Linked DNA regions of Coturnix japonica. The protein of the gene in region 2 interacts with the protein of the main gene of each other region in a biochemical or structural test. Links are inferred from orthologs where the notes say so. Each region holds a gene or a part of one and is shown on either strand. Other genes may lie near its edges. The genes, in order: GOPC, CRHR1, PDZK1, DLG1, MAGI2, MAGI1 and MAGI3.

The links.
Region 1: the proteins of CRHR1 (region 2) and GOPC form a complex in vitro, tested with the Homo sapiens proteins (2 studies listed by BioGRID and IntAct, with this or other methods). The link is inferred for Coturnix japonica from reciprocal best matches to the Homo sapiens genes CRHR1 and GOPC.
Region 3: the proteins of CRHR1 (region 2) and PDZK1 form a complex in vitro, tested with the Homo sapiens proteins (2 studies listed by BioGRID and IntAct, with this or other methods). The link is inferred for Coturnix japonica from reciprocal best matches to the Homo sapiens genes CRHR1 and PDZK1.
Region 4: the proteins of CRHR1 (region 2) and DLG1 form a complex in vitro, tested with the Homo sapiens proteins (3 studies listed by BioGRID and IntAct, with this or other methods). The link is inferred for Coturnix japonica from reciprocal best matches to the Homo sapiens genes CRHR1 and DLG1.
Region 5: the proteins of CRHR1 (region 2) and MAGI2 form a complex in vitro, tested with the Homo sapiens proteins (2 studies listed by BioGRID and IntAct, with this or other methods). The link is inferred for Coturnix japonica from reciprocal best matches to the Homo sapiens genes CRHR1 and MAGI2.
Region 6: the proteins of CRHR1 (region 2) and MAGI1 form a complex in vitro, tested with the Homo sapiens proteins (2 studies listed by BioGRID and IntAct, with this or other methods). The link is inferred for Coturnix japonica from reciprocal best matches to the Homo sapiens genes CRHR1 and MAGI1.
Region 7: the proteins of CRHR1 (region 2) and MAGI3 form a complex in vitro, tested with the Homo sapiens proteins (2 studies listed by BioGRID and IntAct, with this or other methods). The link is inferred for Coturnix japonica from reciprocal best matches to the Homo sapiens genes CRHR1 and MAGI3.

Annotation. Positions count from the first base shown.
Region 1 is NC_029518.1:57,622,707-57,627,167, reverse strand, and holds the start of GOPC (Golgi-associated PDZ and coiled-coil motif-containing protein), read right to left. Parts: upstream 3,032-4,461; 5' UTR 3,017-3,031; coding exon 2,720-3,016; intron 1-2,719.
Region 2 is NC_029542.1:1,738,845-1,743,534, reverse strand, and holds the start of CRHR1 (corticotropin-releasing factor receptor 1), read right to left. Parts: upstream 2,936-4,690; 5' UTR 2,885-2,935; coding exon 2,647-2,884; intron 1-2,646.
Region 3 is NC_029516.1:83,006,576-83,011,039, forward strand, and holds the start of PDZK1 (Na(+)/H(+) exchange regulatory cofactor NHE-RF3), read right to left. Parts: upstream 3,162-4,464; 5' UTR 2,982-3,161; intron 667-2,981; 5' UTR 665-666; coding exon 455-664; intron 148-454; coding exon 1-147. UniProt on the Homo sapiens protein: A scaffold protein that connects plasma membrane proteins and regulatory components, regulating their surface expression in epithelial cells apical domains.
Region 4 is NC_029524.1:10,713,521-10,717,533, reverse strand, and holds part of DLG1 (disks large homolog 1), read left to right. Parts: intron 1-985; coding exon 986-1,036; intron 1,037-2,215; coding exon 2,216-2,317; intron 2,318-2,572; coding exon 2,573-2,745; intron 2,746-3,927; coding exon 3,928-4,013. UniProt on the Homo sapiens protein: Essential multidomain scaffolding protein required for normal development. Recruits channels, receptors and signaling molecules to discrete plasma membrane domains in polarized cells.
Region 5 is NC_029516.1:10,509,943-10,514,476, forward strand, and holds the start of MAGI2 (membrane-associated guanylate kinase, WW and PDZ domain-containing protein 2), read left to right. Parts: upstream 1-1,391; 5' UTR 1,392-1,688; coding exon 1,689-1,989; intron 1,990-4,534. UniProt on the Homo sapiens protein: Seems to act as a scaffold molecule at synaptic junctions by assembling neurotransmitter receptors and cell adhesion proteins. Plays a role in nerve growth factor (NGF)-induced recruitment of RAPGEF2 to late endosomes and neurite outgrowth.
Region 6 is NC_029527.1:11,509,036-11,513,048, forward strand, and holds part of MAGI1 (membrane-associated guanylate kinase, WW and PDZ domain-containing protein 1), read right to left. Parts: coding exon 3,977-4,013; intron 2,401-3,976; coding exon 2,306-2,400; intron 1,471-2,305; coding exon 1,378-1,470; intron 1-1,377. UniProt on the Homo sapiens protein: Plays a role in coupling actin fibers to cell junctions in endothelial cells, via its interaction with AMOTL2 and CDH5. May regulate acid-induced ASIC3 currents by modulating its expression at the cell surface.
Region 7 is NC_029541.1:3,745,100-3,749,112, reverse strand, and holds part of MAGI3 (membrane-associated guanylate kinase, WW and PDZ domain-containing protein 3), read right to left. Parts: intron 3,824-4,013; coding exon 3,649-3,823; intron 2,846-3,648; coding exon 2,766-2,845; intron 1,319-2,765; coding exon 1,261-1,318; intron 802-1,260; coding exon 707-801; intron 446-706; coding exon 257-445; intron 1-256.

The DNA.
Region 1 (4,461 bases), on a different chromosome or scaffold from region 2:
AAAAGATGGACAATTAAACACATTTGAAAACATAAATCAACTTCCTTTTCTTATTAACTCACTAGAGCTATGTTCCCAGCATTAAAGGCACATCTGTCACGGAGCAAAGAAATACCATGGTTGTACATAGGTGCATTTCATATTGTAAGCCAAAGGAGAGAGGGGATTAAAAACAAACCAAAGGACCTTCATGATAAAGTGTATAGTCTGATCTTGGTTGAAAAGTGCTCCTAATCAATAATGCAGTTCTGCAGCACGCTCTGTAAGATGGACTCAAATGATGTGAAAAAACACCATACATATAAAGCCACCTACAATTGGCTTTTTTGGGTACTGAGTTGCTTTCTTTTCTTTTTAAATAGGAATCTTCATGTTACCCACACACACTACACATCCTTTAGCTGATATAGCACAAGTTAGTAAAGAAATAAAAATTCAGCTTAAAGGAACTTGTTCTTCTAAACCTATTAACTCCTTTTAAGTTCAACAGTAACAAAACTACATAGACAAATAACCTCTTAAACGTTTGCTTAAATGCTTTCCTAAACTCTAGCCTGCAGTTGGCTTAACCCAACTGCCAAGACACAGGGTGTGCTCTACCAGACATTCCATTCCAGTTTGTTCATTTAAAATGACCGAATGAGGCTGGCAGTCAAAGTGGCAGAATCAAGCTCAGTTTTCACCAGCACATTAAGCTACTACTTCTACTTACACTGAATTTTTAAAAGATCATCCAGTCCAACTGTTCACCTATTACTAATAGCTCCCACTAAACCGTGTCCCTACATAGATAACATTCATTCTCAACAGAGCAGCTCCATCTTTCAGAGATTAAAAGTGGCAGTTTTCATTTTCAATTTATGACTAATAATCATGATATTTGGATGTTAGGGGGAAGTTCTTCACTAGGAGAGTGGTTAGGCCCTGGAACAGGCTGCCCAGGGAGGTTGTGGATGCCCCGTCCTTGGAGGTGCTCAAGACCAGGTTGGACAGGGCCCTGAAAAATATTGTTCTGTAGCTGAAAATCTGCTCTATTAAGAAATCTTACTGTGCTCTTTGTGCTAGTTTCCATAGAAATAAATAGGAGATTTTACTTTCAGAGCAATCTACGATCTTTCAGGATCTAAGTTTTATAATTTCCTTGCAAAATATTTAAGCATGAAACAACTTCTCAAAGCAATATTCACCAAGCATTATTTCACTCCCTTAAGCTGATATGAAAACTCATCTGTTTTACACGTCTGTACGCAACACCCACCAGCCCTGTGCAATAAATGCTGATTGTCGACTATAAACTCATAAATCTTATTTGACTACACCTATACAAATAAGCGTGCTGTATAGCTTGACAGCATGCATGCAAACTGTGTATTCAGTTGCATTTAGAAGTGTATTCAAGTCTATAGCAACATAAATACAAAGAATACTGTAAACATCACTAGTGAGAACTGTGGTGAAATAAAGACTGCAATGAGCAAAACTTCCTTAGTGAGGTATTTATTCTACTTTGAAATAACCTGAATCTCTGTTAAGCTTTACCAGAATTTTGCATAACAAGGTTTTCATACCAGGAAGAGATCAGATTAAAACCAAAGCCAGCTTACTTTCTTCATTTCCTACTGCAAGGAAATCCTTCAGAAGATTCTTCAATTATTTCATTGCAATAAGTGAAATACAAAGGACTAAAAGAACCAGCACCTCTGACCTGTCCACTAAAGCTCTTGCAATGCACTTGCCTACATGGCTTCTAAGCAGCTCTCCTTATTCCCATATACTTCAGAGCTACTGGAACAAACAATACAAATCTAAAAAGCATGCTCTACAAGAGATACTGAAGAAGCTAACGATTTCTAGCCTAGGGAAAAGATAACTGAATGGAGACGTCTCAGCAGTCCTGCAGCACAAAGACTAGTCTTGTCACAGAAAGACAAGAAGGCATCTAATGTCCACGCTCTCTAAGGACAGGCCAAATGACATCCAAACACACTGCAGAAAGAAGCCTCAAGTTGGACTGCAGCTATGAAAATGAGAAATGTAAAATTGCCCAGATTTTCCTTCCAGAGTGCTCCAACTATTGCATCAACCACAGGACTTCACAGCCCTACCTCTTCAGTAACATCAACACCAGCCAACTCAGCTCCAGCAGACGCTTCTTCCTTCCCACTCTTACTGAAATGCTCATTTAGACACAAAGAAAACTTTACAGCAGTAAGTCTCCACACAGATCGTGAGATCTTGGTTATGAGTTCAAGTGAGTTCAGCAAGGGACTATCTGATCTGCTAGGAGTATGAAGAAGGGACAAGAAGGCCTGTCAGGCCTATCCCCAGTCCATTTTTCTGTTCCATTCACTTACAGACAGGAATAACTGCCGCCTGTAAGCTTGAAGATTCTTGCTGTCTTTGTCCCATTTTGTAAGGATTACCCAACTTCCTAGAGACATAATGCAAATACAAGGCCAGCCAGTGGTATCTGCTGCTCAAGATGCTCCTTTCATCACCAAAGACAACCTTTTATCACCATGAGCAACTCCATAACAACACAACCCGAAGGGATCTGCTGGGCCGCTCCAGGCCAGGCTCCCGGGGGACAGCCGCCGTCCTGCAGCTCGGGGCCTGAGTGCCGAGCAGTCTGCTTGCTGCCCACATCAGGCCTCACCCTGCCGTGGGCGGACAGCCCCAACCCTGCCGGCCCCTCAGCGACCCGCCGCCGAGCCCTCACCTCCAGTTTGTGGTTGATCTGGGACACGGTCTGCGCCTTGTGGCAGAGCTGCGCGAAGCAGGAGCTCAGGCTGGTCATCTTCTGCCGCCCCTCATAGGTGATGTCGGCCTGGTCGGGGTCGATCTCTCCCAACAGCAGGTCCACGTCCACGAAGGCCTTGTCGAACTCCTTCTCCAGCACCTCCAGCCAGCGGAACATGGACACCCCGCCGCCCGGCGCCGAGGCCGCGCCGCCCACCCCTCCGCCGCAGGCCGCGCCGGCCGGCCCGCAGGAGCCAACGCCGCCCGCCGCCGACATCCCGCTGCCCACCGCCCGGCCCGGCCTCGCCTCGCACAGGGCCCGGCTCCCGCTCCCACCCGCCCCGGCCGTCTCCTGCGCCCTCGCGGCGGCCCCGGTTCTCCCGGCGCGGCCACGCAGCCAAGGCGAGCGGAATGAGCCCGAGCGCAGGCGCGATGCCGCTGCCAGGCGGCCTCGGGGGCGGCTGGCGCTGCCTGCCACAACTCCAGGCGGCTCCCAGGCAGCAACGGCTGAGCTCCGACACCGCGATCGAGGCCGCTGCGCTCCCGGCCGGTGGCGGCAGGGGGCGGCGGTGCTGTCATACAGTGCGCTGTCAGGAGGGGCTGGTTTTAGGTTCAAGCTCTGCAAAGGGGCTAAGATGCAAACTTGAAAGTATTGCATAAAAAGGACTATCCTAGACGTCTGTGCACCTACAGATACACTGGTAAATGTCATTATACCAGTCGGAAAGGTATTTGCATTTCCTAACTCATTTTGGATCTGAATCCTGCCTACAACAGAGTCCCAGAAACTCTGTACAGCACAGGGTGCAAAGGACCCTAGAGATTGTACAGCAGAGAGATGACCCCCAACAGCAGCAGACAGCAAGAAGATGGCACTGACATGCCCTGCCTCTGGGCTGCAAGGTGTCCTGAAGCCAGTTTCTCTCATGGCTCTACTTCACAGAGAGACAAATTACAGCCCAGCAGTGTGACCACTCACCTGGAATACAGAGAGAGCTGTTAAAGCAGGAAAGGATTGCACTTCTATCAGTTTGTGTTTTCAGGAGAGAAGGGTAAAAGCAAACTTCACCGCTAGCAGCAGTTTCATGTTTCCTCTGGGATCTGATATCGCAGACTTGACAAGAATCTTACAGATCGCTGTTACAAACCAGTTCTTTTGCCCTTTACTGTTCAGATTGTCTGCACTGTAATTTGAGGCAGGTAGTAGCAAACTAGAAACATAATAGGGGTGCTTTTACTGTGAAGGCCTTCCACAATGGTTACAAAAGCTGCAAATATTTTTATACTGGCCCATAGAAAGAAATCTGGCTCAGTAAAGTGGGATATTCTGATAGTGTCTGAGCAAAGGGTGTAAGTGTCTAAACTTTAGACAGTTGTACAAACGCTTCTAAATGAGCCAAGTTTAGCAGAGCAATTGTTCAAGCTTCGTTCTAATGCTTTTTCTCCACAGCTATTATACCAACAGGGTCTGATGGGCAATCCAAGTATTTTCAGTATCAAAAGATAAACTAACGTTATTGTTTAAAGTTGTTCTGTTAAACAATAAAATTGCTTCAGGATTTTACAGTTCAGACAAGGATTTGTCTCTGCTTCTTCCACTCAAAGATTAGCCTCTCAAATACAGTTTCTTTAGAAACCTAACTGCACAATAATACCTGTCTAATACTTGCTGGACTATGTAAAAATGAGAAATACTATATATTATTAAGAACATCCACAGTC
Region 2 (4,690 bases):
GACAGTGGGATGCTTCATCCCCATGGGCAAAATGACCTCATCTCTCTGCAAAAGCTTTGTGGCAAGGGGAGAAGCAGCTGCATACAGACCCCAGGGAACTGAAATCAGGAAGGTAATTTGCTGTCTGCAGCAATCTGAAGGCTGGGAGCCCTTGGGACAGGGACCTTTCAACCCTGAACAAGGTTGATCTTCATTGTTTCTCTTTGATAAGTTTAATTAAGCTAAATTTCTTGGCTTCCAGGTGTTTAGAGGTGCAAGCTGACCTGGCTTCTAATGCACCTTCTTGGTCTCAAGTCCAGCTTAACATGGTTTCTACTTGGAGGAGCCTTTGCAGTAGAGCAGCCAATCTGAATGCACGGATACCCACTGAAAGGCACTGTGGATGACTACAATAATAGTTTGGACCATCATGCCTATGCAGCCGGTGAGCATCACCTGCATCTCTCTGCACCACTCTGTTCTAAGCAGAGAACTTTCCAGCTCAGTGCATGCACCTCAGAGCACCAGCAATAGAACCACCCAGCCTTGCATCCTCGTTAAGTGTAAAATCGAGTAAGGAAGGGACTGGCAGTGTGAGAAGGGTGAGAACCTGGGCTGGGATGATTTTTGGAGGAATGATGCTATAGCAGAGCCTGTCTGTGCATCCAGCTGATGCCCAATGTGCTGTGTGCTGGAGGATCCTTGAGCTCGTGTTGCCAGCATGTGCCATTTCCCAAGAGTTATGCAGACATTAACAAATTAAGTCTTGTAGCCTTGCTGCAATTCCCATTAGCATCATCTTAACAAGTCCTCGCTTCAAATAGCCTCAAAACAAAGTTGCCAGTTTTGTGAACATCTCTTCCTCAGAAACGCTGCCTAAATCAGGCAGGGCTTAAACAGACCCCAAGGATGAGGGCTGACGCTGAGCTTCACTTACCAAACAACAGCCATAGGACAATTAGTTTTAGATAAGCCCCCATCCTGAGCTGGGAGCAACTCTCACACGCACCATCCCCATATCCATCAAGTTACCCATGCGTGGTAGGTAGGATGGAGGAGATTTTGCAGATTTAAAGCCTGGCCTGCTGTGCTCCCCATCCCAAAGAGATAGATGCTGTGGTACACTTGCTCCTGAATAGCTTTGCACTGCTAAATCCCAATGCAAGGAAGTCTGATGCCTGCAAAAAGCATTGCCTGCTGCTTGGAAACGCTCCCTGCTCTCTACCCTGGGTTCAGGAAGCGACAGCACAGGTGACAGGGGCCATGAGCTGAGCACAAGGAGGCTCCATGCCTTGGGCCATGGGCCAGCTCCTCCATCACAGGAAGGTCTGGAGGTGCTCCCCACAATTCATGGGTCAGAGCCAGAGACACATTACACCAAGAAAGACAAGCAAGAAGTAAACCAATACCATTTATCACTGCTTAACTTGGCCAAGGACAAACACCTTGTGGAGTAATGAAACCTTCAGGGAGCAAAGCCCATGAGTGATGGCCAGGCTTCTCTGCATAGCCCCCAGGACGTGCAGGCACTTCCATTTCTATCACCAGCCATGCTTTACCCTTGGCTTTCTACCCTCATGCTTCAGGTTGGGGATGCTCCTCGCCACAGTGCCCTGGGCTCTGCTAAACATCCAGGCACTGAATCAGCCAGTGCCCAGCTGGAATTGTTTAAAAAGGACTTTTTAATGTTGTTGTTAATGGGAGCAGTGTGGCAAGGAGCCATCCATCACCCTGATGGAAAGATGCTCTACTGAGCAGGGACTGGGTCAAGCTGGGCAATTGTTTGATGCATGCTCTGTCCTCTGTCAATTACAGAAACAAAATGAGTTCTGAAGCAACCCTGGACCAGGGAGGATCTTCCTCCTGCTGCCTTGAAGCTCCTCTCCCTCTCCCTCTCCCTCACCCTCTCCTCTCCCTCAGCCACTGTTCCTCCCCCCAGATCTATCAACAACCCAGAGCCATCAGCGCTGAGGTGACATCTAAATCATATCTTTAATGTAGGACAAAACACAATGCTTTGTGGGCCTGACCTATATGGGTACAAACCCTTTCAGGGGTGTTGGATATAAGTGAGGTGCCCATGACTTTGTTGGTGTCACCCAGCTTGACTGAGCCAGCCCGAGCCACGTCCCTAAGAGCTGCTTCCATGAACCCAGCAGTGCTCAGTGGCACAACACTGAAAGTACTGGGGACAGAGGACAGCTGAGCCCTGAACACATCACGGATGTGCTGCTTTGGTGACGTGGTGTGTGCAAAAAGCCACAGCTTCTTGTTGTCACCTTTGGGCATAGGGGTGGTGAAGGGGTGCAAACATAGGGGACAGTGGCTCCTGGTTAACAGAGGGCAGTTGATACTGAGGACCACTTTGGCTCCTGATGTCCTTGGGTGCAGTAGGGAAGTGGCAGCATAGAAGCAGGAGCAGAGCTGGTGTCTCTTTGCCCACCTCTCCTCCAGCCCAAAGCACGTTTATTTTTCCTATTTTTAGCTCTCCTGAGCTCTGCATCTTCCACCTGCCTCAACTGACACTGCAAACTGCTGATGCAGTGATCACCACAGGGCTGCAATGCAGCCTCAGCACATTCCCACCCCCAGAAAGGGTCTCACCCTCACCTGGCCATCCTTGCTACCAGGTGCCCTGAGCATGATCTGGGGACACAGGACACTCACCTGTGTGGTTGGTGGTGGGTAGCAGGCTCTCACAGTACTGCTCTTGGATGGAGGCTGCAACGAGGTTATCCCGAAGGAGAAACACCTGCATGAAGAGAGAGAAGATGGGAACAGCTTTACGCACACAACACGCAGCTTCCTCACACCTCTGTTCCCTCCTGGATGTGGCAGCAGGTGGGTCTGATCTGAGCTTCCCCACGCCTTGATGGGTGTCCTCCCCAAATCTGCATGCACCCATTTACAGGACTGCTTTTCCACTCTTGGGGACTCCTATTATCTTCTCTTTTCTCCAGCCATTGTTCTTCTTCCCCATATATTTCCCCAGTGACCCACACTGCAGCCCTGCACAACCCCTGCTGAGCTTCAGTTTCTCCTGTTTAGCATTTTAATCACCACTTTTAGCATCTTTGCATCCCAAGAGCAGGCAGAGGAAACATGATGAGCCTGACACCACGTTCAGATTTGTGATACCTTATTAAAATCACAGCCTTGTAAGCTGTCAGCAGGAAAATGCATCATTAAAGGGATCTGATCCACAGGGTCAGGATGAAGCCTTCTCTAGGAGAAGGGCTTGTCTGCAAGCATTGCCGTTCCCCTTGCATGGGGAAGCACTGACCACAAACAATCCTATTGGCAAAAGCTTCTCCAGAACATCTCCTGGGTGGCTCCGCAGCTGCTTTGGAAGTGAGAACCACCGAGTCCATCTGTCCAGGGAGCTATTTTGGAAAAGCTGCTGCTGAAGGATTGTTTCTGGCAGAGATTGCAATGACCTCTTCAGCCCTGCGTGGCAGGAGCAATGAAGTGATTCCATCTGCGATGAATGGATGGGATGAATGAGGGATGGCAGGGGCCAGTCCCTGTGCTCAGAGGATGGCCACCAGCAGTCACTGAAGCTAAGGAGACTCCTTCCCCACATCCGGGCTGCTCTCCAGTGCTACATCTCCCTTCCTGTGTGCCATTTACCTTCACAATCATTCTGGGTAGGGAAGACACATTCCTCCCCATGTCTTCTAGTGTTGGCACACTCAGAGATCTCCTACCCCCTCCTGAAGCATCAGCAGGATGTGTTCAGACGGGGAGACAAGCTCCGCACCCACTTGCTCTTTTCCAAACAACTATTTACTGCCTTGGGAAGCTGGTTTTGACAGCAAGCGAGATGTCAGGCAGACGTACAAACAGAGCTGAGAATAGCTCCCTTGTTATGACTGCTCCAGATGGCACAATGGATCCAGCAGCATAACCCTGCCCCAAATGCATGCACTGCAAGGGACTGGAGCACTTGTTCCAGTCCTGCAGGATCCCACCATACCCAGTGATGCTCTGCATGAGGCTGGGCTCTGGGATCAACACAGATGAAGCACAACCCCAAACATGAGAGCTCCCTAGATCCAGAGATAGGGTAATTGGGCTGCAGGGGTCCATCCCCTCTGCTTTAGTGCCTGCCAGACCTGTGGCTCACTGCATGGGCAGCTGGGACTCAAGGTTTCTTCCCAGAAGGGGCTGGGATGGTTTGTTCAACTGAGCAGATCTGCAAGTGTTAATTGGATGTGATGGTGCTGATCGCAGCCTGCTCAGCCTGGCAGTGCCCATCCTCCTTCCAGACACAGGGAGAGGTCTTGGCACTGGACTGCAGCATGGGCTGAGCTACAGCTCGAGGGGTGAGGATGGAGCGATGGAGCACAGGTATCAGCTCTGAAAAGGCTTTGAAAATGGGCTAAAATAGCAAAAATAAATAAATAAATAAATAAATAAAATAAAATTAAGAAAATAAAATCTTCCAAATCAAACAAAAGGCTTATTTTCTTTTTTCCACCTGATCCCCTCAGCCACACTGCTAGCAGGGTTAAGGTGGGGACTCCAGGTGCATTTGCACAAGCCAAAAGCATCCCAGCACCCTGCTGGTCAGGCTCCTATGTGTACTTTGTCCCCTGCTGGTTGCTTTAACCCCTCCGCAGGCTTTACAGAAGGAATAGGTCAAAGCTCCGTCCTTGCATCCCCACTGTCAGCCGCCACATGGCACCCAGTGGGTCCCAGCCTGGCCGAG
Region 3 (4,464 bases), on a different chromosome or scaffold from region 2:
CTCCTCCTTTTTCTCCTTCTTTCCTTTTGACACCTTTTGACCCAACTCTTCCAGATTCGCTCCCTCCTTTTCTGCCTTTTTATAAGATGCTTCATCCAGAACAAGAAATACAACAGAATTTCCACTGTTCTTCACAATCTCCACCACCTGTAATGGACAAGGTGAAATCAAAGGTGAATTGCTCAAGCAGAGTGATTGACCTAAAAGCTTTCTCCAGGAAGGATTAAACTCTCTATTGGTTTTGTTGTCACATCCTTCTGCTGATGCACTATGGAGGCACCTCAAAAACATTTCCTACCCATGATGGATAATAAATGATGCAGAGAGGTATCCAGAGCTGTTGACTCAGCTCTCGGACTTTTCCACCATAGAAATGGAAGAGAAAGCTTCCAATAGTGACAGCGGGTCTGGATCATGGGAGGTGATGTAGCCTCCAGACTAAACAGATTTGTACCTTTGCATGTTCCTCCTTGTCTACAAACACACCATTAACCCTGAGGACTCTGTCTCCATCCTTCAAGCCAGCCTTTTCAGCAGGGCTGTTCTTTTCCACATTCCGGATGAGATGTCCTGCTGTGTCTTTCTCCACACGCAGGAAAAATCCATAGCTCTTCTTGCTTTTCTTGGTCACTTTGCACTCTCGTGGCTGGAGAACAGAAGTCATCTCTACGAAACAGGATGGAAAAACTAATTGTGAGTTTAAAAAAAAAAAAAAAAAGCAAGCTGAGACAGTTTGCTTCAGAATCCTTAAGGTTTGGGTTCCTGGGAAATCCAGCTGTGCAAAGGGAGATTAAATGAATCCTTTTTACCTGCTAACTCCAAGATGAATGGACTGGCTCTGTGACAGGCATAGAACGATGAACGATGTACTCTTTAACTATTGCAATACCTTTGAGAGGGTCTCTTGTACAGTAAGTGTGGATGACTTGTTGACATATGGACTGAATAAGCAGATTCTGTAGGTGGGCAGAAGATTGGCTGAGCCATTAGGTTCAGAGGGTTTTTATTGGTGGCACTTAATCCAGCTGTTGGCTGCTTTTTATTGACAATGTTTAGGGTTGGTACTGGTACTGATAGATACTGTTTAACATTTTTATTTATGACATGGTCAGTGCAGCAGAATATATCCTCAACAAACGTGATGGATAATATTAAACAGAGGGGAGCAGTCAATAGGATGGTGGTTAGGGATGCTATTTAGAGAGACCTCAACAGGCTGGAGAGAGGAGCTGTCAGAAATATCGAAACATTTAACAGAGAAAAGTGGAAAAAAATCTATATCTAAACCATGCATAACGACAGCACAGGCTGGCTGGTCAGTTTGTGCACTTACGTGTTGTCCTGCAAAACTTCACATCAGTTGGTGTAGCTTTGCAGTGAAGATCAACTGGATAGTGGGCTATATCTGAATGTATCTAGCAAGTCAATGAAGGGATTGTTCCCTGCTGTTTGGCACTTGTAAGGCTATGCGTGACTGCTGTTTTGAGCTCTCTGTGTCACTGACATACTGAAACTAATCCACTGGGGTGGGTTAGGTTTTGGAGCGCAACTTGTTTGAAGAGGGTTTGAGAGAGCTGAGTTTGTTCAGTCTTGGGAAAAGAAAGTAAATGAAAGTTCTTATTTGCATTTTCAAGTGCCTAATCGGATGGTGTAGAAAACACAGATCCTTATTATTCTTGGATGTTAATACTGATGAGAGGCAACAGATACTGGTCGCAGTGAGGGGAAGTCTAATTAGAGAGAGGTAAGGTCAGCTTTTTAATCTCTGGTGCTTTCAGATACTTGAACAAGAACCTAGAGTGGCTGTGGAATCTCCATCCTTGGAGGTGCTTACCTGGATGAGACCCTGATAAACTTGGTCTAAGTTGGCTTGGTTTAGCATGAGCTATTGGACCAGATGAGCTCCAGAAGTTCCTTCCAAGCTAAAATATTCTATATTTTTATGATACAATGAAATTGTCTCGTGTAGCTCATTATCAGTAAGAGAGACATTATGTTCAGAAAGTAAGCAGTAGTTATGATCAAGGAGCAATTCCAAAGTTCGCTATCTTGTTGTCTTAGGAACTCCTGCCAAAGATCCACTATGACATAAGAAATAAGATAAATGATGGCAACTTTCTCCATCCAGGTAATTACCACACTTGATGTGTGTCTTACTGGATTGATTGTTTTTTTTTCTCGCTCCTGTTAGAAGTTTGTGAAAAGCCCAAAGATCTGTTGCAGAGGTTGGCCATTAGTCTCAGCCTAATAAATACTAAAAAATTTCATCTGCCTGCATGAACTCTTTACAGTTCTTTCTTTTTTCTGTTTCTGTATATCACTCACGTAACTTATGTGTGTGAAAACTGACCTTTTCTTTTACTTGTTTTTAGAAGTAGCCAGTGGTCAAATCTCTCCACGTTCTTGATAGCAGCCTACTGCTGAAGTACATCTGGCTACTCATGAAAATATAGAGTATTTGTTATGGAAGCTAAAACTGTGTTGTTAAGGTTAGTTAGTCAGCTTATAGAAAAGTATGGGTGAGGAGTGGGGAGTTGGCAGGGATGTCACTGAAGCTGGAGAAGATGGAACATTTCAGCATGTATGGATAGGCAGGCTGTGGGTTCTGAGTTTCTTATTCCCGTTGGTGAGGTACTTAGTGGTTTTTGGAGTCTAAGTATAGTGGCATCAAGAATAACTTCACATAGGGATGTCCTGCACTATTGTTTAGACATTGTACTGATCTCAACTAGAACTCGGAGCAGCTTTTCTCGACAAACACTGGGAAATTTGGTTAACTCCTGATGTTTACAGAAAACCAGCAGTAAACAAAGCTGAAGGAACAGTAAGCTTTTACAGGACAGATTATCTCTTCATATGTAGAAATGGAGGGAAGACCATAGTGGGCTGCAAACAACTTTTCACTTCATGAAAACTTTATATGCAAGATTATCAGACTCCTAAAACACAGTTTTATATAGCAAAAAAAAGGAATAACTTACCTGTATATCTGTGTGAAGCAGCCTTTGCAGGAATCCTCTCTTGCTGTCCCTCCTGTAGCTGTACCTATAGGTAGGACTGGACTTTGATTGGGCAAAGGTTGATTTAAAAGATGATTTATTTAACCAAGTTTCACTGAATATGCTCGATGCCTTGATAAGCTGCCTTGTCCTTGCCTGCAGAAGTGCAGATCACATGTATTCCTCATCAGCTTTGAATTCTGTTCTACTGATAATTATACTCAAAAAAACTCAGTCAAGAAGGTGATCTTTGCTCTGTGCAAGAACCTTCTTCAGCTATAAGTAGTGTCCTAAAGGAATGTGTTTGGATTGTCATGTGCTGACGATGACTAGTTAGTGTTTGATTGCAGATCGAGAGGTTCCCAATTCAAACCCGTGCACTCCATGTAGGGTGCCAAACATAGGGTTGTGATGGGTTAATCTTGGCCAGCAGTTAGATGCCCACCTATCTATTCTCTCATTCCCCTCCTCAGCTGGATGGCTTGTGGAAGTGTGAGGAATCTGAAATAATGACAGTAATTGGGAGAGATGCAATGTGCCAAGTGGTTGTGATTGAGGGGTAGACCTGATGATTGAGAACATCCCACAGGCCACCTGCAGATGTGAAACATGCATTGCAATCAATGAAAGGACACAAAGTCCCTACAGTGCATGTAGGGAAGTTGTTGAGAAAGACAGTTTCTTTTTGGAAAGGGATGACCCACTTGCAGAATTGTCTTTGCTCAAAGATCAAAGTGTAATTGGTGGTCAGTGTGGAAGGATGAGCAAATTTGTTATGTACCTCAAAGAGATCTATACGTTGCACAATTTGACTTGTACAATACAGGAAGTAATACAGCAGAAACCACCTGAACTAAAAGGGAGTGAGTTTCACATGGAAGTATGTGAATACAATGACCCACCTCAAGCTGGTGTTGGTGCCCAGTGATCCAACATTCTGCTCCCCCTGTCCTGAGTGATGGCCTTGATGAATGGGACAAAAGTCCAGCGGGTATTTAGATGCATTAGATAACATGGAACCTAAGAATGGCGCAAATGATATGGAATAAGGGGATAAGGTTATACTGAGTCTGCCTGGGACAGAGCTAACTTTCCTCGTGGCAGCCTGTGCAGTGCTGTTGTTTGCATTTGTGTCTGAAACAAATCACACCAGGGATTTGGCTGTCATTGAACAGTGTGCGAACTACCAAGACTGTCTCTCCATCCCTCTTCTCCTGCCCCCAGGTGAGTAGAGTGGATGTGAACAAGATGTTGGGGAAGAACAGACCAGAGACAGCTGACCCAGACAGACTGAAGGGATATTCTGTGCCATTTGGCATCATGCTCAGCATTAAGTCATGCAGAAAGGAGGAGGAATGGGGTGACACCTTTGATTGTGGTGTTTGTCTTCCAAAACAACTGTTAAGCTTTTTGCCTCCCAGTAAGTAGCCTGCTGATGTAAGGTAGTGAATGAATTAATCCCTCT
Region 4 (4,013 bases), on a different chromosome or scaffold from region 2:
GAAGCAATATATGAATCTATAAAAGCCTTCATCCGCCATCTATTTCTTAAAAGGCTGTGGTTATAGCATTGGTGTGTTCCTTTGGCTGTTATGAGTATGGCTTATGAATGGAAAAGAATGTTTGAAAAGCTACACAAGTGAGTTCTTGAAGCACTGCATTTTATTGGGAATTCATAGTGTTGTCATGTGATTTTAGCCTGTACGTTCAGAATTATAAATTCTCTGCTGTCGTGGTGCTGATTTTTAGTGATTCCCATGCGAGAAATCTTACTCTGAGGCATTTTGTTGGACTAGAGATGTTCTTTTAGAGATGGCAACTGAGGTATATTTCAGATGCTTGCACTAACCTTTTAAAGCCTGCAGCTGTTAAAGGTCAAAGCCTCGTTATTTTCGTTTCATTCACTGCTGATATGCTTTGTGGATCTGAGAACAACACAGAACATTCCTACATTTCAAGCTCATGTTTAAAAACTCACTAGTAAAATAATAGTGAAATTTATACAATCATAATATTTTTTGTGGAGCTGAAGTGGTTGAAGGTCTTTGTATAGAGGCCACTTCATGAAAAATTTACTGGGAGAAATGTGCATGACGTTCAGCTCTGTATATAGAAGAATGTTGCAGAAACATTTAAAGTATGGAAAGTGCTCATGAAGAAGGTGGCATTGCCTCTAGCAGTGAATGACACCATGCATGCACTTCATTCTGGGAAACGCAAGAGCATTTCAGTTACGCTTTAAAATACTTCTTGTGCTTGACGTCAGTTTGACATGCTAACATAGCTGAAGGAATTGTATACTGTTGGTTGGCACATCTTTGTGAGTTTTATAATTCATCACTCTTTAAAACCGTCCTCCATCAGTATCATTGTAACACGTATTCTGCTGATGAATGTCTATATTGTTGCTGTTTGTTAAATGACTTGATTTAAGTTTATTGCTTTAGAAACAAATACATGGATGCTTCTTTGCATTTACCTTTCTAGGTGGCCAAGAGGAATACGTCCTGTCTTACGAACAAGTCAATCAACAAGAAGGTTTGTAGATCTCACTTAGTATAACGTGTCCATACTCTGGTATCAGAACGGTTCATGTGCACTTATGAACCGAGTGCTATAATAAACTTCCTCATTGATTTTCAACTGTTATCCCTATTAAAATGAATAAAGCATGAAGGCATAAATTATTAAATACAACTGCTAAATTATTTAGCATGTAATCCAAAGGTGCGCAAATTAATGACTCAACCACTGTGTGGTTTAAACTGCATAAGGAAAATAGGGTATATTTGTTTGGTCTCTGTGAACCTCAGAAATGATAGTTTTCTTCTGTTTCATATTGCGGTAGAGCTCCCAATGTTGCTGTTTCCTTTTTGTCACAGGGAAATACATGATAGTAGATTATTTGTTTGTTGTAGAAATCCTAGTTTAAAATGTTTCCAACCCATCCAAGTCTCATATTCCTGCATGCTGCTTTTTGTATGGCTGATTTGTTAGTTGTTAACCATGTGGGTTATTACAGAAAAAAAAAAAAAAAAGTATTTTTGAGTAAAGAGGAAATCAGTGGGAGATTATGCTTGGAACAGAATTCCTTGCACTGATTTTTAATGGGATCCTATTATTTCCTTTCCACCTTCTCCTGATCTTTTTTTCCCCTCTATGCTATAGATGTAGTTTTAGCATTCCTGTTTACCACCGCAGGGTGCTAATGGCTGATTTATTTAATCTGGTAAAATACCATATTCATAATCTGATTAAAAATATGATTTGTAAAAAAGGAATGATTGATATCTATTAAATATAGAATACAGTTTAAAAAAAAAAAAAAAACAGATGGAAAAAGGTATATTCAATTAATTCAATTAATAAGATTCAAGACGCTCCTTTTGTGAATTGGAATTACTTCCAGGAGTTAAAATGTATTTTACAAGTCAAACTGTATTTAATTTAGACTTGTGTAGTAATGACAGAACTTAAAACTAGAACTAAAGTTCATATGGCTGAAATGATATGCTTACAACTAGGTATTTAGATATTAATGTCGTTATGCTAAATGCAGTATAATTTGGAATCTTATGCTTGTCCTCTTTCCCTTCAGAAGTACATATTCTGTTAGATATTACTACTGTTACCATGCAGTAAAGCTTATTTTTGCTAAACTTTAAAGGTTGGTGATGTCATTGAAATGTAACTTAAGTTATTCCTTATGTTTAACAGTGAACTATACTCGACCTGTGATTGTTTTGGGACCCATGAAAGACAGAATTAACGACGATCTGATTTCGGAATTTCCAGACAAATTTGGCTCATGTGTTCCACGTAAGTTTCAGCAGACACTAAAGCAATTATAAGTGGGCTTTTGGTTTAGTGTTGTAACTTCCTTCATAGACCTAATTTCTGTATATAGAAGTAAAATGTTAGGATACCTTCATGAAGTTTATTAATGGATATTCTTCTCTTGTTACAGTTTTGCAGTTTAGATGGAGGACTATTTTTGAATGTTGGGAGGGAAGGGGGGGGGGTGGGGGGTGTTTCTTGTTTTCTTCTTTTAAAGTTACTGGTTTATATTCAAAGATACTACTAGACCAAAACGGGATTATGAGGTGGATGGACGTGATTACCATTTTGTCACTTCTCGAGAGCAAATGGAGAAGGATATTCAGGAGCACAAATTCATTGAAGCTGGCCAGTACAATAATCATCTTTATGGAACAAGTGTGCAATCGGTGCGAGAAGTAGCAGAAAAGGTAAATCACTGCCAGTTGTTTACATTTACTGAGGTGACTGTTTGACTGTGCTGATGTGGATAGGAGAATGGCAAGAAGCCACTGGGACCTTGAAAGGACTTCATACAAACCTAGAATCAAAGAGCATTATTACAAATTCATTTAAGAGAAACAGTTGGAACATCGTGATTAAGCTGTGAAAGAAGAGCAACTTCTGAAGTGCTGACAATGTAGTCTTCCACCTGTTGTTTGAGATCCTTCAACACCTGGAATAATCGTTGGACCAAATGCAGCAATTACTGGCTGTCATATCACAAAAGGGAACATGGACAAGTTACTGCTCTTAATTCTCTGTTCCTCTGCCAGGTCTACTGCTAATGAAAAAGATGTTCTCATTTCAGACTACCAAAGTCCTTCTGTTCTACTTCCCCTACACTGCCCCTTTCTAAAATGGTGTTGTCACAAATTGTTCATACACTACTCAAAGAAAAGAAATAAAAATGTGTGAAGTAGAAATTACTATATTAGACATAAGAGGTGCTCAGGAATAAGGAGGAGTCTTTGAGATGAGGAAATTCTGGAGCAGTGGCAGGTTAATAATACCGGGTGAACAACCCTGCTGCATTCTGCTTCAGCCCCCTGAGGAATGAGCTGTATTTGTTTCCTTAAAAAATAAAAAGTAATTGGCCCAAATAAATATAATTTGTTGTCTCAAACCTGGCGTTCCCCCGGGGTGGTACCTGACAGTGAATGAGAAACATTATATTCAGTTCCATCTGACTGTTCTGATGGTGATAGATTTGCTTGGCATTAGAGGCAGTTATTCCCTCAGAAATGCTTGTCAAGGCATCTGGCTCTTTTCTAAACTCTGACATGGCTGCATCCTTAAATAAACCCTAAAATAGTGGTGTAGTTTGATGTACAGCTGCTCTGTATTCTGTGTTGTTGATTGGGCTGCAGCTTCTGATGTAGAGAGTATGGAAAAAGAGTCAAGAACATCTCAAGTTATGCATGATCCCAGCAGAGGAGTGAGCACTGTGGGACCACATGCTAGATTAGTACAATTCTGATGTCATTGATGCAGGTGTTTTAATTTCGTTGGCTTTGTTGGAAACATGGTTTCTCTTCTAGGTTATTATACAGTGCATAGCTGTGACTTAAACTTTGTTTATTTCCTTTTTTCTTTTTCTCTCTCGCTTTTAGGGTAAACATTGTATTCTTGATGTTTCTGGTAATGCGATCAAAAGGTTGCAGATTGCCCAGCTGTACCCAATCTCCATTTTTATTAA
Region 5 (4,534 bases), on a different chromosome or scaffold from region 2:
CATCACATGCTGTAACACATGACATCTCTTTTACCTTCCCCCATCCTGTACCCAGCCTGCAGACCCTTTCATATACTCTTTTCTCCTATATCTTGCAGAAGCAAAAACTATACTTCTCAAAGTCAGCAGGTTGCTCTGTCTTTATTTGTCAATCTTCCCTTCAGATGGAAATTATTATTATTATTATTATTTTTTCAGCAAGACAAGCTTCTCAGAAATACATGCCAACTGCTACACTCCACTGCTTGCACACGTGTTAGGCATATGACAGAACAAATTAAATGGAAAATGCACAGGAGCAGAGGGCTGCACTATCACCTGCTCCTGAGTGCTTAGACAGAGAGAAGTACTTGGGGTTGGAAATGCCACTCTTTGGTAGCTCGGGTTATGTAGGATTTAGAGCCAAGCAGATGGAACCAAATGAGATCTGGTAGGTGACAGCAAGAAGATCTCATAGAAAACACACCACTGACTGCTACCCCTGTCGTCATTGCATCCTCTACAACATTCCCTGTCCACCAGCAGTGATACTGTTTCTGTCCCCTGTGGACACAGTAACCAGCATTAAAAAGTATACCCATACACAGTACAACTCTATAAACTGAAGTGTGAGACCTTAGAGCAGGAAAGCGAGGCAGGCTCTGTGCACATTAACACTGAGATCTAAGTAAACGGCTGCTTTGTTTTTCCTGCCGCAACTTGAAGCCTGTCACTGGATTCTCCCTTGTCAGAAGCAGAACTCCCAACCAACCCCTCCACACATTCCATTGCCATCCTTCTTCCTCGAGGAATTTGACTTATACGCATTACCCATTTCCTGAATTGCTACCCAGAGCTTCCCACTGCAGTGGTGTGAACCATCAGGGCACCGCATCACCCTGCGACTCTCCTCCCTGGGCAGGCTGAGGGGAAAGGGGAACCACTCCCGTGCTTCTCCCTCGCCCCCAGGTAGGCCGGGCCCGGGGAAGCCCTGCGGAGCAGGACGGCAGCGGGGTCACCCCGGATGGGACCCGGTATCAGCGCAGCTCATAGGGCTCGAGGTGTTGCCGGAGGCGGAGAGCAGCGGGAACGTCAGCCCGGCGAGAGGCCCGGCCGGGAGCCGCTACGGGGCAACCGGCGGGTACCGCAGCCCCCGGCACCTCATCCCCGGGCTCCCCCTGTCGGCAGGGGCTGCCCTGCGGGGTAGCGGTGCCGCCGGGCCGGGAGCTCCGAGCCGCCTGCCCGCCCCTCGCCCGGCCGCTCTCCGCCTTCTGCCGGCCGTGCCAGGCAGCCTCTCTCTCGGCCTTCACTACCGGGTCAGGCGAGGAGGGAGCTCCGAGGCAGCGCCCGCCTCGCTCCGCCGCTGCCGCCACACTCCTCCTCCCCGCGGCCGTTCCCTCCTTTTTCCCCTCCCACCCTCCCTCCCCGCTGCCAGTTTCTCTACAACTAGTACATCCACACGCAGGGTCCCGGCCGCCGCGGCTGCCATGGATATCAGCTAAAGCGCCGGCAGCCGCTCGGACCGGGCAGAGAGGAGCTCCCCGTCCCCGCTCCGTCGCCCCGCGGGGCCGCGGTACCCGCCCCCCTTGCCGGCAGCGGCCCCGAGCCTGCCCCGAGCGTGCCCCAGCGAAGCCCCGGGGGAGGGGGGCAGAGAAAGGGAGGAGAGAGCGGCAAGCAGAGCGGGAGTCGGGCAGAGCATCCCCACGGCAATGTCCAAGGGCTTGAAGAAGAAAAGCCACTGGACGAGCCGAGTCCACGAGATCGTGATCGTGCGGAACCCGGAGGGGCAGCTGGGCTTCGAGCTGAAGGGGGGAGCCGAGAACGGGCAGTTCCCGTACCTGGGCGAGGTGAAGCCCGGCAAGGTGGCCTATGAGGGCGGCAGCAAGTTGGTGCCGGAGGAGCTGCTGCTGGAGGTGAACGAGACCCCTGTGGCCGGGCTCACCATCAGGGATGTGCTGGCCGTGATCAAGCACTGCAAGGACCCCATCCGCCTCAAGTGCGTCAAGCAAGGTAAGGCGGCGGCCGGGGGGCCGGGCCGGGCCGGGGGGAACGGGGGGCGGCGGCTGGGGGGGAGCAACTTTGTTGCGGCAGTTTGACTTTCCCCCACCCGCCGGCGGCAGCAGCGGGGGGAGGAGAGCGGCGCTCCGCCGTGCCCGCAGCCGGGCGAATTAAATGTGCGTCAGTGACAGCTCTTCGCCATGCCGCTGCGAGGGGACGGGGGGGCCGCGCCGCGGGGCCGAGCTGAGCCGGGCCCAGATCCGAGGCGGAGGGCGCTGCCGTGGGGCCGGAGGAGCGGGCGCGGTGCGGAGCGGATCGGAGCGGGACTGTGCTGTGGGGCGCTGCCCGGGGACGGGGAGCGGGCGGCGGCCTGAGCGTGCCGCTAACGGAGGAGTGGTTCACCTGAAACCCCGTGAGAACGGTCGCCTGATCCCGGGGAGCCGGCGAAAAGTGGGAGGGAGAGGCGGGGAGAAACTTTCTGGAAAGAACTCTTCTGCCTCTCCAGTTTGAGCTTATTTATTGTTGAGTGCTTGAATAGCTCCCTTACGTTTCTAGGATAGACAGGAGGTGCAGCAGATGCTGTTTACGTGTTTGTTTGTGCCTCTTCAAACTCAGCCGGGTTGGGGGGGTAACTGCGAGTGAGTGAGTGAGTGCGGTGAGGCTGATGCTGGCACAACCCCGCGCAGCGCAGTGCTGGAGCTCCGCCGGGAACAGCCGCGTGTCCTCGGACCGGCGCTCTGCGGCGGCTCTGTGCGGCTCTGTGCGGCTCTGTGCGCATCCCCCGAGCGCCCTGCTCAGCCATACACCCATCTCGTCCCAAACTTGGGGATTTCTGTAGTGGGAAGGGGTTTGATCTCATTCATTAGAGGTTTGCGTGCTCCATGGCGACAGCCAGTAGCCTTTGCTCGGAGGACATAAAGGCGTGTTATTGTGACATAATTTTGCAGTTTCACTTGCTCATTTTAATGGAGAGTGTGTTGTTTGAAGTGGTATTTGTGACACTTCGGAATGTTTGAAAGGCATGCCACTTATCAGTTTATCCGAACACAGCAAAATTCATAGAAAGTTTGACTTTCAGGCCTTCAGAATGCACTTTAAGATATAACCACTTGTGTACATAAGGTCACATACCTTAATAAAGACATGCACTGTGGTTTTCTTATTGGTTCTTTCAGGTAAGTAGTGAACTATGTTGTAGATCATATGCTGATAATCAGAAGATGCAGAGAGGCATAATAGTTCATGTGATAAGTGGAGAGGAGTATAATGAATTCTGTCTTGGAGTGTGGTGTCATCTCTGGGTGCCTGAACTCCAGAAACCTGCTCTGTAGTTGTCTTTCTTCATGAATTTTAGTGTGAGAGTTCTTGCAGTGTCTGGATTAAAAGAAGCAGCAGTGGAAGTGTCAAGAAGACAAGGGTTTCTTGTCTGTTAAACTATTTATGTTCTTTCTTCTTTGCAGAAATGCTGTAGATGCTAATCTGCACTAATGCCAACTTCAGGTTACGATGGTGTAATACGTCAGTCAGTCTCTGTCCCACCTCCTCACTATTCTTCATATATTTCATTTCAAGTCAAAGGAATCCCAAGTGTACCTTTAATACACATGTCTGTTATACATGAATTAAAGACATTAGTCAGGCTTTTAGTCTGTGGGTTACTGCAGGTTTATTGAATGAGACTTGGAGAATGTATTCTAAATCCCACCTAGGTTATATATATGCATACTATAGTAGTATATATATACTTCAGCATGTGAACACACTGTGCTTTTGATGTGAGTCCTCCAATACCGGCCAAATAACTGCATGCTTGGAAATGACAGCTCTGTGTAGATCTTTGGACTGAGACTTCTTGATTTGAATGATCTTTCTTGTGCTGCAGCATCCTTTACTTACTAAAGGGATATTCCTTCTGGATCCAACTTCCTGTATTTAAAAAAGGTCAATATTTTGTGCATGTAATCACCTGATTCCTCCTTCAGCATAATTCAGTCGAATCACTGCACTTCTTGGTTAAAAGCACAGACAGCTGATAGCCATGTTACTCACCAGGATAAAACTCCCAACAGTAATTCGCAGCAGTGTGTAGGAGAGAAAAAGCTGGGCAATCAAATCTTTATGTTTTTATAACTTTACTCTTGTTTTAGTTATAAAACACTTTTAGTGTGCTGGAACAAGGTTAATGACTCCATTATCATTGTTTCCGCATAATTTATCAATGGTACCTCTGTAAATTAAAATAGCATGACCTTGAATGTACCATGTGACATGACTGGAGCTGCTTCTACAGAGCTGCTTGTGTATGAAATCACAGAGATAAACGTGGAGGTAGATCACTACTATTTATAATGGGATGCTTAGGAGACTTACTTGAAAGTTGGTATTGAAGTTTCACCTGTAGATGAAAGCAAAGTCTGGCTAATTCAGTTTACAGGTATTAATTTAATGTAGGAAGTACAGGAAAGAAAGGTACTTCCATAATTTTTTATTATGTTGTATTTGACTATACACCACTGAAATAATGCAGTGCTTCATCTTTTATTGCATCGAGGGGTGA
Region 6 (4,013 bases), on a different chromosome or scaffold from region 2:
GCCTGTGTCATAGCCAGCAGTGCTGGCATGATTTCAGAAACCTCGGCAGCATTGCCGTGGGGCTCTGCTCAGAAAGCAAATCTTAAGGGAAACTGGAGGCTTGTAAGCCTTTGAATGGGGGAAAAAAATAAAACGTATATTTGAAGATTATTCATGAGGGGGCAGTGCAAGGAGTCCGTCTTCTGCCTTTGAAGGGTAGCACAGGAATGTGGCAATCCTGCACATGGCAGGCAGATACTGTGCTCAGACCCCAGGGTGCAGAAAAACACAGGCAGCTTGTAGCAGGGTTTGGCCCTGTGCTCATTTTTGGTTAAAAAAATAAGCAGAACAAGCAAAGCTTGCCAGCATCTGCCTACTAACACGGCTTGAACTTGCCCTTAGTAACAAGAGACAGTAGCATCACAGGCTATGTCACACCTATGGTGTTCGCAGGGGAGAATGTTCTAAAGGAGTGTATCTGGAAGATCCCAGCAGTGCCACCAGAGGGAAATGGAAACACCCAGGTGCAGGGCAAGGAGACAGGGAAGCAGGGAACAGTGCTACAAACAGGGAGCAAGAGAAGGAGGAACAGCACTAAGAAAGGAAGAGGAAGGAGTGAGAGAGAGAAGGAGTATCAGTGTGGACCAGAACATCATTGAGGCAGGCTAACAAAAATGTTGGTGCAAGATTTTGGTGGATGGCAGTCGGCAGCAGGTGGAGAGCTGAGTGAGGTCCCCTGCACAATGGGTCCTGCATTGCCAGGTATGGAGTTTGGGCAGCCCTTGTACCATCTCAACAGTATATAAAAACAGCACTCAAATGAACTGACCAGTGCTGGATGCCTGGTGGACAGGGCATCATCTCCAGACACGTTTTTCCTTGGTGCCAATCTGGACTACCCTAATATACTCTAATATCCCATGGGAATGTGCTGGAGGGTTTGCATGATTTTGTTTTTGGGAGGGAAGGCTGCCCTGTGTGAACAAAAAGAAATCTATTTTCTATTTTCTATGGATCGTACTGTAAGAGCCATGCCATAAACTCAGCTATGAAGACATAAAAGCCTAATCCTTGCCTAACAATACAGCTCTGTAGCAAAAGATCCCCTATTTGTACCTGCATCCAGCAGGTACAGTGGTTAAATCCCACTGATGTAAATCACATTTTTGTGCCTTTTTGAAGACTTGGGATACTACATGAAGAATAGTCATGGTTCGTTTTTTCATTCAGGTAATCACGTTTGCTCCTCACATTTGGCAACAAATGTGGTTTTGAGGTAATTAGTATCAAAGTCTAGGGGACTGGTGTGTGATACTCCCTTTATTGGTTATGGTGGGAACTTCCTTTGCAGGAAAAAAACTTGTTGGGCTTTTACAACTGGTTTAACAAGGTTGTTACCTTGCACTGGTGCTTCCCGAACTGTCTCTTGGTTGTTTGAAACAAGGTTTGGAGCAGCGGGTGGTGGGAGAGATGGACACTCCTCTGTCCATTCTGGAGAGGGCAGAGAGGGAAATGTTACTCGTTTCACAACAGCACTATGAGTTCCTCCACGTACACACATTGGGAGTGTGGGTTTGAGCAAAGGAGACATGTAAAGCATAGCAAGAACAGAAAGAGACACAGAGAGAAGGAACAAAATGAATGGGATGTTCAAAAAACAGCTCTGGAGGATCCTCTATGTTTAAGTCAATCAATCTGTGTGTGCTCGGACAGTATTCCTCACACTCACACTCGGGACTTGCAACAAAGTGGTCTCAATATTTACATTAAAGCTATTCTACACAGTCCTCACAACATCAGTTCAGCCTGACTGAGAAATAGAAGGGATGATGTTGCGGTAACTGGGGGTGTAGGATGAATGCTGAGACCTAAGTCTTCTCTCCCTTTGACAGGAGCTGCTGTTCAACAAGGGGTGGGAAATCTATGAAAGTCCAGAAAGAAACCTGTAGGTCCCTCACTGCCATTGGGTTGCTTTAAAAAAGAAAATAAAAGGAAAACATTTTTTAAGACATGAATAAAGGAGAAAAAAATGGGGTGGGTGAAGTGTTCTGAAATCATGAAATTAATTCAGATATCTGAGCTACACAAAATGCAAAAGCTCTCTCATGCAGAGGGGTTTCTCTAGCATATGTGTACAATGCTCACTCCTCATTCCCTTCAGTAGACTATGAGTCCCAAACAGCCTTTCCTGTGGGTGTCGTTTTACCTCTAGAACACATTATGGCCACAGAACAAAGGACAAAACCATCAGCACGGGGCTGCCAAAGTGAGGGAGGGCAGGTTCCCCCCTGAACACCCCAATCATCGTGCCCTTGGTGCTGCTAACCTTCTGGTGGCTGCTGCTGCTGTTGTTGTTCAAGCTGCTTCTTCCTCTTTGCTTCAAGAACCGGGTTCTCATATTGTGTCTTCCGGTTGATGTGGCTGGGGATGGAAGAGAGTGATGAATTAGGAAATCTGTCATGTGACAAGCAGGAATCATGGTCAGGTGTGAAACATCTCTGAGGAAGGAAACGAAATACCAAACAATATTGACAGCAGTGTATGTGAAGCAGTGAGCCAAAAAGCCTGCTTAAGAAAACAAGAGGATTCCAGTATCAATATGATATCTGAGGAGAAATGGCAGATGATATCAAATACATTAAAGTAGTGATTCACTCTTTTAAAAAAAATGAAATTACAGCAGGAAAGGTGAGGTCTGTCTGATTGCATTTTAAAAGGCCAGCCTACATCGTCACCGCTTTAACTGGATTCCTAAGGGCACAGTCATTCTCACTGGAGTCAAACAAACAAAAAAACAGAGGAAGTCCAAATACCAGGTAACATCTGCAGCAGAGATGAGCTGCTCGTCACCCATTAATTCAATGGTTTCTGTAATCTCCCTTCTACTGTAAAGTTTCTCCATCACTAAGAAGAGTTCCCACTGTGAGGGGATGTGCAGATTGAATTGCATTCTCTTAAAGCCCATCTTTGTGTCCAAGGCAAGGTCTACCCTTCAGAGCTTGTTATTTTATTGTCTCCCATCCCACAATATCTTTAATAAAAACAAAGCACATTTTAAGTAATTATGCTATAAGCACTGCAGAGTGCTGGTTCTGAGCATTTCTGCTAAAGATCAATACTTAAAGAAACAAGTAAAAGCCAGTTCATGAGTTTTGTAAAGCATTTTCCATTTCAAGATAGCTTCAGAAAGTTAGGAGAAATCAGAATGATTTCAAAAAATGATACAGTTTAAACTTTTCCACCCTACAGTTGTTTCTCAAACAAACTCAGTAAGCAGCAATAATGCAGTGCCTGAATTAGAAGGAAGAGACAGATGCTCAAATTCAAACCATTCTGCCAGTGTATTGATAGCAAGTAAAATAAACTTATGTCTCATCGTTGTTACTTTCCAGTTTAATTCCAACAGGAAGGAGTGCTGCGGAAATAACTGGCATCCATATGTGAAGTGGTGGGAAAAAACACTGGAAACAATTCTTGGCATGGCATTTAATAGCAAAAAAATATTCTCGATGCCTTTGATAAATAAATGTCAAGCCTTAATTATACAGTTTGCTAACCTTGTTTCCCTAGGCACAGATGGTAGGGTCAGAAATGAGCCAAAGCAGACAGAAATTGTATTCCATGTCTATTCTGAGGGCTATCGTAAGCCATCCTAGTAGACAGGAGTATACACATAATTAAAAATTCATTTTATGGGGTCAGTGATGAAACAAAACTCAGCTCTGCAGTTTCCCAAGGGAGGAATTTGTCATTCAGATAAAGGAGCTGTTCTAATTCTGGCGAGAGCTGCTCTAACCCCTTAACTCTAGTCTGAACAACACAGCCCAGCACAAGAACCTCTGTGGGGCGGTGTGGGTACATCAGCTCCTCCACACCTCCTTACCAATGACTTACAATGGAGCAGGCACCAGGGCTCCACATAGGATGCCACTGAAACACCGCAGAGTGCAGCCCCCACTGCCCACCAGCCCCACCAGAACCACAGCACAGCACTTACTCTACATAGTAGACACCATATACGGGATCCTCAATTT
Region 7 (4,013 bases), on a different chromosome or scaffold from region 2:
AGCTAGGATTGCGCCCACGCGTATTTCATAGCCTTGCGCTGTTGCCACGTGTGGGTTAAGCATGTAATTTCAAAGTGAAGGGAAAGTACATGTCAAATCCTGAAGCCCTGTTTCATAATACACATCACAGTGATCAAGATTGTGTACGCAATACAATATTCCCAGGAGAAAACCGTCCTCTCAATCTCGCACATCAGCAGCTGCACACTCTAAAAAGCATCAGAAGAAATGCAAGCTTAGAGAAATAATGATTTACCTGGTGCAATTCTCCCATCTTGCGCAGCAGGTCCATCTTTTAACACGTTCTTCACCTGGAGAAACTCATCAGGCCTGTCCCCTCCGATGATGGTAAAACCAAAACCCATCGTGCTTTTTTTCAGTGAGGTCCGTATAAGTGCTCCTATAAGCTGGGAGGGATCTCTAGTGAAGAGAGACTTCTCTGCCCCTGTGCATGATAAGATGCAATATAATCAACCATCAGCAATGCTGCTTTATGGCGGCCACTACATCTCCAAAGTACGGTGACCACAAGCACACGTAAAACAGACAATCAGAGAATTAAGGAAGATATCTTAAAGCCTGGCTACCAAACTTGCATGTTTTCCAAACTGTATTACAGATTAAAACAGGGGACAAATGAAATCTCCCACCTCTAATTTCTGGTTTTACTCTCTTACCCTTGACGTCAATATATATTTAGTGATACCTGATTTTGAAGGGCCACCATCAGTCTGTCCCAGTTGTTTTTTCCTTTTGGCTTCCAACACTGGGTTTTCAAACTGAGTTTTCTGGTTAATGTGACTGTAGACAAAAGGTAGATTAAGGTATCAGAGGAAACCATCCTGCCTGCACCATCCCAAGAGACAACCCACAAATACTATTGCTTGAATGAATTCCAAACTATCAGAATCAACATGGAATGTCTTTTGTTTTTATTTCCTTTCAACTTGATTTACTTTAAAAAACAACGTGATTTCACTTGTAACCAATTGGGAGAGTATACCTTCATCCCACTCCACAAACTTCCAAGCTCATTCCTATTTATTAATTACTATCATTGCTACTTGCTTTCCTTCCCTAGAAGAACTTCACTCCAATATGTCAGCACAACCATATTATGGTCCTTCAGTGATTTAGAAATGTGCACAGCAGCCTCTAGAACTTATCTTTACTCAGTGCAATCTATATACACTGCTATGCAACTGCTTCCCTGCATTCTGCTCAGCTTGTGCCTATTCCAAATTAATACTCAGCACTTACTCAACGTAATATGTTCCATACTGTGGATCTTCTATTTTTTCCCATCCATAAGGAAGTTCTGCAATCAGAAAGAACAAAATTCTCCACTACTTTGGAAAACTACCTGCAAATATCAGCACTCTTACAAAAAAAGGACAGATGAAAAACATGAATTAAACAGAAATCACTTTTTTTTTCCCCTTTTTTTGTTTGAGACTTTTCTTCTGATGAGAAAACATTGGCTTATTCCAAGGAACCTGAAGCCCTGCACCTCTCACTCTGTTCCACTGGATCAGACTTCTATTTAACAAAACCACATCAATTTAAGTCTGTAGTAAACTTAGACCCAAATTAACCTATTTGGGAAGGAAGAACATATGAAAGGGGATAGAAAACACAAAGTCTGGTGAGATGGTAAGCAGCAGCAGATCATTAGTGACTAGAGGTGGCAGGCAGTTAAAACAGAGGTCCAATTACTTTAGCTTTACTGTTCTAGTTACCATGACCAGGGAAATTTAAATAGCTGAATAATTGACACAGCCAGGTAACCAGACATTCCGAGGGATAAAATTTCTGTGTAATCTTGTTTGAGGCTGCCCTAAGTTTGAAGGTACCAGCAATTTTCCTTGCATATGACAGCATGTTACCACTTATTAGTATCAGCATCACTCCACAGGATTTGACAAAAGACCCAGGGGGGCTATTCATTTAAACGTTGTTCATTTGGATATCCTGCATCTCTCCGTTTCAAGTGCTCTTTTTATCCTGTGGTGTGCTGCACGTATGTTTAACAAGCAGCGGTATGAGTCCATTGCTCCAGCTGGCTTCATTATGAATACATGATTGTTAGCCTGTGCAATTTAAGGAGATGACAGGCTGTTCTGAATCTGCCTCAGCTTTTGTAATGTGCGTTTGCTGAAGACTGAGCTACTTGGTGCTCCTTTTTTGGCTGACTAAATCACAGACTACATAGGAAATGGATACAGGTGTCGTCTGTGGGTCAGTCGTGAGCCTGACTTACAAGTCTTGAAACAGCAGCATGAAGAGCTGTTACCCCTACTAACACATTCAAATGTTATACCATAAAGCTTGTGATACACATTACTAGCAATAGGTATTACACTGCATCTTCATTCTGCATATATTCTAGTATTTATGGACCTTTTATCCCTGCCATGTTCCACCCACATAAAAATTTCCAGCACGATTGCTGCTGATATATCCAGCTTTCTCCTTAGCAATGATACTCACTGGAACAACATATATCATTCTCTTCTCAGGAATGCAGATACATCCATGATTCAGTCAGATTCCACGGCTCCAGGAAAAATCCATTATGGTCTTTCCCAGTCTTATGTGGACTCTCACTACCACTGAACTATGGATACTCAGCACTACACTCTATTTGCTCCAGTGGCACGTGTATCAGCAGTAAGTTTCTGTCACAGCAGTAATGGATCTCAACTAGCCCTGATAAACTCAACCATTGATCAGCCACAGTAACAAACAAGCTCTAAATATCTCACCTCCATCTTCACAATCTTCAGGAGCTTTGGCTTTCTTACAGAGCCGTGGATCGAGCCATGTTGTTGTCTTTGTGTTGTGGCTGCAGAGCAAAACAGCCCATTAAAAGAAGAGGACTTCCTCAGACTCAAGAAATTTCACTTTACCTTAAATATTTACTACCTCGGTCAAACCATAGTCATTAGATAACCTAATCCCTGCTTATGCCTCAGTCAAATGCTAAATAGAAAAGGTGACAACGATACTCAGAGGTGCCAGCATTGGAGACTCCTGAGGACAGATGTGAAACATGAGAGGAATGCTCTCCTGTGCCCCAGAAAGCTCACGTGGAAACACCATCTATTTCTACCTGAAAGCAGCAAACGCTTTTAGTTGTATAATTAACATTCAATTGGGTTTTTATTTCTTTTCACCTCAGAATTCATAATTGAGGCTATTTCACATGTGCACACATGAACTGCTTTTCTATCCTGAGCTTTAATCTATGCTGCTCATCTTTTCAAGCAGGCATTCCCAGCCAAGGAACTCATGCTGAGAAGAAAGAACACGCAAGTTCTCAGATGTCAGAGAGATTTGTCATTGTAAAAGTTCATATGATGCTATACCTTCCCTACCAACATCCAGCCAGCTTTGCATTTTATGAGATACATAACTCACATTGCAAACTGACTATGCACGTGGAGCCATAACACTTCCCTGCACAACAGCAATCAAATACGTAGCATAAATGATTAACAGTAAGGAACAAATGACAGGAAATATATAAAATTAAATATATAGGAATATAAAGTAAAAGAACAGGACAGGTCTAAGAGCATTAGGCAGCTACCCAGACTGTGGCTCTTCAGCACGTATCTTTCCTGCTGGCAGTGTTGGGCTACTCACTCGATGAAGTAGATCATGCCAGTGTCAGTGTAGGCCATCTCCCAGTTCTTGGGCAGAGGTTCCAGGGTTTCATCCCTTGACATGTAATTTCTGAAGTCCATGGAGCTGCTTGTCTGGTTGTAACTGGGAACAGGTTTCATCCAGTCAGAAGAATCTGAGTGTTTTTCTTTGTTTTCTGCAGTTGTTCAGGGAAAGCATTACTATTTGTCAGATGCTTATGCTGTTTCTCACTAAGCACCACCCTCTTAATCTGGCTATGAGAGAATGTCAAACACGTCCCTGGATGTGATGAGCATTTTTCCACTTTTTTTTTTTTTTTCCAGCTATGGACTTTGAAAAGCTGACATGAAAAAACTGAACTCTGT